Linked DNA regions of Bombyx mori. Each later gene encodes a partner of the first gene's protein in a complex. Links are inferred from orthologs where the notes say so. Each region holds a gene or a part of one and is shown in the gene's direction. Other genes may lie near its edges. The genes, in order: regulator of nonsense transcripts 2 and regulator of nonsense transcripts 1.

Region 1 (4,378 bases):
ACAATCACTATTTCACGACTTTTAAGTTTTTGTTTCAATACCTTAACATCTTGTCGTAATTTTGCTTTTCTCGGGGTATTTTTTTTTTCTTGCGTTTGAGTACTTGATTCTTCTTGTTTGACCTTTTTAAAGGACATTTTCCAGAAATTCCAAAGTCATATTTACTAGAAGATCCTCCTCGTTCGCTTAACGTCAGGCAAATGATATACATGCTTGCGTGCGACGCTATTCAATACAATAAAAAAAGTTCAAGAAATACCACGTGATGGCTCTTATAATATGAAAAATACATTGCAAAATTATAGTTTTCACGATTGTTTTTTCAAATTTAGTATATGACATAGATTAAGTACAATTTACAAGACAAATGGTATTAAATATTATAATGAGAAAATATATCTCACATTTTAAAAATATATGCTCACACTAGTAAAAATTTTATCAATGAATCTGACATATGGAAGGATATTCCACAAACTGGAGAGGATTCTCGCTTAAAACCACTTATATTAAAAGTGTTCACCATGATTACACGGAAACTTTCACGATTTTCGAAAAAAAAACAAGCCACAAGCTGTATCAGTGCCATTTTAACTTCGCACTACAAACGTAAATAGACGCCATTTTTCTTTTAATCCATTCATAGCTCTTTTTCGGTGATGCCAACAATTAATCTGGCTTCCCACCAAATTCAACATGAAAACCATCAGAAATCTACGTACCTACCATAAAATTTTCCATTAAACAGAGTTCTTATTAATATAGAACAATATTTTTTTTGTTAATGAGCTTTATTAATATATGATGTTCTATTAAAAATCAATATATATCATATAATCAATACTTCTTATATAATTTATTTTAATAAATTGTCATCATCAGAAAATAAATTCACCATAACTTTGTACGTTTATGTTGAACCAATTTAATTTTTGACGTTGATGGAAATTCTAAATTGTCGCAATATTTTCTAGTTAAGTTTAAGTCACATCGTTTAAATAATATGTATTTAGATATATTATTGTCATAAAATGTTTAAAATCCTGTAAAGTGGATTGATTTTAACCTTTTCAATAATTTTCAACAACGCCCAAGCTACTAAAAAATCCACTAACCACTAAAAGCCATTTTTGATAACTAAGACGGGGGTCCAAATTCCGAGATTTTATGGAAAATCCTCTAAGCTAGCAACACTGCTTTTTGTTTGTAAAATGTGCGAGAGGGACACCACCACTTAATAATCATTCTCTTTTCAGACCGTTTTTCCTTACATCTTTTGCTATTTAAAAATAAACTTTAAGCCATAGAGATAAAGTATATTTTTAGTTTTTATGTCAAACGAAGTAAGCACTCCAGTTAGAATAGTAACTCTATGATTTCATCCCAGTTGATTAATGTCTCAGATTAATAATCTTCATTTCATTTCACTGCATAATATCATTTTTCATAAAAATATGAATATAAATTAAAATAAGACATGACTTAAAGGTCTTAGTTACCAGGTCATAAAATCCCTTTAAAAAAAAGATAATACACATAATATTTATGACACCTTACCCAAATGTTTGTAAATTTTTAAATGAATTAAATGTGATTTGCTGAGTTAATAAATGCAAAAGAAAGTTGCTCACACCATATAGTGGTGTCCATTGGCTTCAAATAATACCTATCTAAAAGATAAAATGACTGCCACCAACAACGATGAGGCAAACGAAACACCTATTGAAGAACCGCTTAAAGATTTAGAAGAAAATGAGAAAGCGGCTCTCGAAGAGTATACAGCTAACTTGGAAGCCAGATTGAAACAAAAATATGAAATACGTAATCAAAATTTGAATTGCTCTCGACCACCAGAAAATTATTTTTCCAAGCTAGATTCAGGTTTGAAAAAGAATACCACATTTGTAAAAAAACTAAAATCATTTAGTGCTTCTCAGCTGGATGTACTTTTGAAAGATTTTGCAACATTAAATCTTACAAAATATATATCAGAAGTGGCTGCTGCAATAGCAGAAGCAAAATTGAAAATGTCTGATATTCCTGCTGCTATAACTCTATGTTCAGTTCTTCATCGTACTTACGCTGATTTTTCATCTAACTTTTTTGAAAACTGGCAAAAGATTTTAACATTCAAAGCGACTGATAAAATAACAAATTCATCAAAACTGCGGGTGGATATAAGATTTTATGCAGAATTAGTGGCTGTCGGTATTTTTATGAATAAAACTGGATTGCCTTTGCTGGGTAATGTATTAACTGTTCTAATAAACATGGACAAAGAAGAGCATAACAATATACCAATTTTGTTATCATTTTGCAAACACTGTGGTGATGATTATGCTGGACTTATGCCTAGAAAAATACGAGAAGCTTCTGAGGTAAGTTGATTTCTTATCAGCTATTCTTTTATTTATTAGTAAATACAGCTAATTATTGTTTCTTAATGTAGGTGAGTACTAAATAAAAGTAAATAAAAAATTAATTTATCAAATTAAGAAAAGAAAAAATGAATATGTTGATAATTTATATTTAAATATAATTGGTGTGTTGCTTAAGTAGTCCTATATAAACAACGTAATACTTATTTTATTTTTATTTGTGGTTTCACACATAACAGTTATAGAAGAAGAACTTATAGAATTGACAATGTGTGGTCAATGTTCAACGATTCTTGATAGCATTCCCATCGTTATATTTGTGTGAACGTGAAATTAATGCTGTGGCAACACTGCTTACTAAAAAGAGAAATCGTTTGTATGTTACCGAAGGCGAGGACTTGATTTTGACTGACTGTTTGATTGACTGTTTTTGAATAAATGGGAACCTGATATCAACAAACTTATTAAACAGCATTAGATTCATCCTTCACCTTAGTTCTTATTTTAGAATCGATTTTTATTTTTATTTTTTTATAAGAAATCTGTCAGAACATTATAAAGTTGTGCGTCAATTATCATTTTCATTGGCAGGTGTTGTGTACTACCTACTGTGCTCAGGTATCAAGTTAACTCTTGAGGTAAAAGTCTCGTTTAGAATGAATAACAACTAATATAGCTCGCAATAATTAATTGAATTTGAAGTGATAGTGGTTTTTAAGTAGGTGAAAAAATGGGGCATTAAAAAATAATTTATTCTCAAAGTGGGCAGTAGATAAAACTAAGTTTGGGAATCCCTCGTTTATATGCATATGTGTAGTATTAAGTAACATTTAGGATGGAATGGCTTAGTTTGTAATAAATAAAGAGCAAAACATTTATTTTCCAGAAACATAATATTCCTGTTCCTCGAAATACATTTTTACCGGCAGAGAAACAAACAGCAGTTAGAACTCTCTTGAAAGATTACTTTCTTTCACTAACCAAACATCTGCTGGCGGAAAGAGCTCAACTTCAAGCTCTGCATGCAGCAAATCAGAGGACTCTGCACACCAGAGGAGAACTCTCACAAGAAAGAAAAGAACAATTAGAACAACATCAAGTAGGCTTACATTTAATATTAAATTTTCAAGTTTGTAATTTTAAGCAATAATATCTTCCTATCTTCTAACTTTTGTCTGATTCTGGTATAATTGAATTTTCATATTTCTATATCATGAAGCCAGTGTTAAAATGACAAAATGAGCAGTTTAAAGACTGTTCCATTTTATTAATTTAATCAACATGTTCCTATTATTAATTAACAAAGGTAAAGTTTTTCTTATGGTCATTGTATACAGTAAGTCCATGAGCAACAGTAACCACTCACCAACATGTGGGCTGTATGCTTGTCTGGCTACAAAGGCGATAAAAAAACCTATACCTACCTCATTCTCTTTTACTCCAGGTACATCTAAAGCTATCAGAAGTTATGAGACATAGATTATCCATTCAGTTAATTATAAACCGACCGAATAACATATTAAAATAATAAATGAATTATTATTATAAATTAGATATATATTTAGATATAATTATAAAATAGATTAAACCAATTTTATACCCAGTTTTTTTTTTGTGATAGCTGAAAAATACAATCTGAGATAAATTTAAAAATAATGTTTGTGAGCTTTTTCATAATCTGTAATTTTGCACATCATTTAACAGACTGAATAGTATTGGCTGGCTTTCTTTGAATAGCATAAATTTCTATAAAGTATATGATATCTTACAATTACCATAATTTGATTAAGCATAAATTGATTAATACTGGTGGTAGGACGTTTTGTGAGACCGCACGGGTAGGGACCACTACCCCGCCTATTTCTGCAGTGAAAGCAGTAATGCGAATCGGTTTGAAGGGTGGAGCAGCCGTTGTAACTATACTGAAACCATAGACATCATATCTCGAGGTGGGTGGCGCATTTACGTTGTGGATGTCTATGGGCTCCAGTAACTACTTA
Region 2 (3,388 bases), on another chromosome or scaffold:
AGGCATGCAGTCGACCGAGCCAGAATGTATGGTGCCTGTAGTTCTAGGAGCCAGACAGTTGATTCTAGTCGGTGATCACTGTCAACTCGGTCCCGTGGTAATGTGTAAGAAAGCTGCAAAAGCCGGTCTCAGCCAGAGTCTTTTTGAACGTTTGGTCGTTCTCGGAATCCGTCCGTTCCGACTCGAAGTACAGTACCGCATGCATCCTGAACTTTCACGTTTTCCTTCAGACTTCTTTTACGAAGGGTCCTTGCAGAATGGAGTCAGCGCCGAAGAAAGGCGTTTACACAAAATCGATTTTCCGTGGCCCAGACCTGACAGGCCCATGTTCTTTTACGTCACTCAGGGACAGGAAGAGATCGCCGGCTCCGGAACTTCGTACTTAAACAGAACTGAAGCTGCGAATGTTGAAAAACTCACAACTCGGTTCTTAAAAGCAGGCGTCCGTCCCGAGCAGATCGGTATAATAACACCTTATGAGGGACAACGATCCTATCTTGTGCAGCACATGCAGTACCAGGGCAGTCTACATGCTAAACTGTACCAAGAAATCGAGGTTGCCAGCGTCGATGCCTTCCAAGGGAGGGAAAAAGACATCATAATTATGTCTTGCGTGCGGTCCAACGAACACCAAGGAATTGGCTTCTTGAGCGATCCGCGACGTCTTAACGTCGCTCTCACGCGCGCCAAATACGGCCTCATCGTCGTCGGCAATCCGAAAGTGCTCAGTAAACAGCCGCTCTGGAATCACTTGCTCGCTTTCTACAAAGAGCGCCGTGTACTTACCGAAGGACCGCTTTCGAATCTGAAAGAATCCGCCATTCAGTTCGCAAAACCGAAGAAGCTGGTGAACTCTCAGAATCCTGGCTCCCATTTCATGTCCACCTCGATGTTCGACGCGCGTGAAGCCATGGTGCCGGGCTCCATCTATGACCGAGCGCGGCCTCCGCGAGACCCGCTGGCGTACGTGGGGCCGGAGCGCGGCGCCCTGCTACATGCGCCGGTGCCGCCAGCCGCCTTTCCAACTCAACGCCTGCCGCCGCGCATGCCGCGCCGTCGCGTCCCGCCGCGCTTCTCGCAGGAGCCCCTGTCGCAGCAGCCGCCGCTCTCACTGTCGCAGGGCGCATCGCAACCGGACTTCAGTCAGGAGTCCACGGCGCCGGAGTGTCCGTCGCAACCGGACGGGCTGCTGTCGCAGGACTCTACGTACCAGGGCGGGTTCAGAGCACGCTGCAGTCAGTACTGAGAGCGGAGAACGCGGCCGCGGCGCTGACGAGACGACCCGCCCCGACCGGAACGTTAGTCTTCGCCCGTCGACCGTGTTCGCGAGTGGAAACTCAGACCTTGGAAAATGTGTCAGCGCGAAACGAGCCCTCGCGGTCCACGCGCGGGCTAAATGTTACCGCATACAGGGATAGAAATTCATTGGAGGTCCGACTACAGAAATAAACGGAAAACCCGACTGCTGCCGTGTCTATCCCCTTGACCTGTGGCGTAAGGAAATCTTTAATGATTTATCTTGTACGCCTAGAAAATAGAAATCGACATTTACCCGTTTCATCATCTAAATCGACAAAATGTATTATCGAAATTCTTTAATTATTTCAATCAGCAAAGTAACATTTCGTTATATAAAAAAAAAACTTTTAGTATTTTATGTAAATTACATAAGCAACAAAAATAATAAAAGCAGCATGCGAGCAAAAAAAAACGAGGAAGCAAAAACGAATTTTCTTAGTCGACCAAATTGCATCTCATAAATCGAGTCTCACTTGATTTTGGTCAATTGTGAACTCGATGCTTTCATCACCGAATACATTATCGATACCATTTCACAAATAGAAATTCAAGGAAATCTAAAATTTCATAATCAAGTTAGTAAACGGTGTTAGATTCCGGTTATTATTTTTCCACAATCATTATCATTCGTGAAAAGTTCTTCATAGATCGTTGACATTTATTTCAAAACTAAATTTCGTCTGAAAAAATCATGTTCACTTGTAATTGTTTTTCCTTCTACAAAAATCATATAAAATGTACTCGTGCATCTGTCGTTGTCACAAAACAAAAATATAAAAATTAATACATATGACAAGCAATAATTTTGTGCATAATTTCACTAAACATAAGAATTTCTTTTTAATCACAAAGAACATAAAACAAGACAAATACATAATTCCAACTGCTTCTGTTGTTAGTTTCTGGTCATCCGTATATTGGTATTAGTGACTCTTACTTTAAACTAGATTTTATAATGAATTGTTACAAAATCTTCAAACATCCTCCATCTATCATCACCTCTCACAAAAAGGATACTTCACCTTAGATAGCTTGTGTTATATATTAGTTTTTTATGTATAATTGTTTAAAAGTACACTAAAATCTAAATAAAGACGTCGAATGTTAACTGAAATATGTTTAAATCTGTCTTTTAAAATGAATTCATATAAATTTTATGTCCTTCATTCAATTTCACTCGATTTACTTTTGTGATACAGAATTTTGTTAACACCCTCAGTGTTTCGTGAATATTTGTTTATCATCTGTCATTGTTTAATGAAAGATTTTTGTTATGTGTTTTTGTGAAGGAAATGCAATAAAAATTCAAGAATTTGTATATGTTTTTATTTATTTCCGTTAATAAGGGTAAATAAAATTACAATATAAATGAGTATATAAATGCCCAATATAACTATAAATTAATAGGTGATTATAAAATATTTTGCTTATTAAAAAAATAGGCTTTACGCAATTCCAACTTCAGGCCTTGAGCTCATCGCAGAAAATCCAAATGCGTAAGTACTTAAATGTAATACTTAAATAGCATAACTAATCACATATTTGCATTAGTAAAGCTGACAATATTGGCACTACAAATAATAATTTTTTTTATTAAAAGGCACTAATAAATTTTTATGAAAAGAAAATTTAATTGTAAAATCAGTGCGTCACTTTTTTACAGTTCATTAGTTCCCCGCTCAATATAGCTTACAGTCTAAAGACGCAATCGTATGTTAACTATAAATACTAAGAATATTCATTTGTCTTTATATGATCTGTTTGAAACCTTTCAAGTATCAGATGTTAAATGCAATATATTTTATTTGAGCATATAGCAGTAGTCAAGACAATTCATGGATATCTAATATCTTCATACTGTATAAAACGTTACAATCACAACCTAAATGTGCTTCACATAATTTCGTAGTCAAAACGCAGATCTTCGTAGAGAAATAAATATATTATTACGAGACTCCATTTTTGCCACGTTTTATGCACTATTTTTTTAATGAACAAAAATATAAATAGTGTTATCTACGGCCGATAATACATAGATTTTATATGCAGTAGTTGAGTAGACAATAAATAACACGGCCCACATGAAATA

Evidence for each region.
Region 2: the proteins of regulator of nonsense transcripts 2 (region 1) and regulator of nonsense transcripts 1 are in contact, whole or in part, in a crystal structure (PDB 2WJV), measured with the Homo sapiens proteins. The link is inferred for Bombyx mori from reciprocal best matches to the Homo sapiens genes UPF2 and UPF1. Residues at the interface, in NP_056357.1 of Homo sapiens: Val1105, Cys1107, Glu1109, Asp1110, Phe1113, Ile1114, Ala1116, Leu1117, Met1120, Met1121, Asn1124, Leu1125, Arg1128, Met1169, Pro1170, Phe1171, Val1172, Met1173, Leu1174, Thr1175, Gln1181, Lys1184, Leu1186, Asn1187, Val1188, Pro1189, Ser1192, Gln1193, Leu1194, Asn1197; in NP_001284478.1 of Homo sapiens: Asn150, Thr151, Ser152, Gly153, Val157, Asn158, Leu160, Val161, Arg162, Lys164, Lys166, Pro175, Leu176, Gly177, Thr179, Tyr184, Cys188, Asn190, Val191, Phe192, Leu193, Phe196, Pro198, Asp202, Ser203, Val204, Val205, Val206, Leu207, Cys209.

What each region holds. Positions count from the first base shown.
Region 1 is NC_085110.1:14,020,886-14,025,263, reverse strand, and holds the start of regulator of nonsense transcripts 2, read left to right. Parts: upstream 1-1,509; 5' UTR 1,510-1,682; coding exon 1,683-2,378; intron 2,379-3,264; coding exon 3,265-3,477; intron 3,478-4,378. UniProt on the Homo sapiens protein: Involved in nonsense-mediated decay (NMD) of mRNAs containing premature stop codons by associating with the nuclear exon junction complex (EJC).
Region 2 is NC_085127.1:8,621,174-8,624,561, forward strand, and holds the end of regulator of nonsense transcripts 1, read left to right. Parts: coding exon 1-1,246; 3' UTR 1,247-2,617; downstream 2,618-3,388. UniProt on the Homo sapiens protein: RNA-dependent helicase required for nonsense-mediated decay (NMD) of aberrant mRNAs containing premature stop codons and modulates the expression level of normal mRNAs.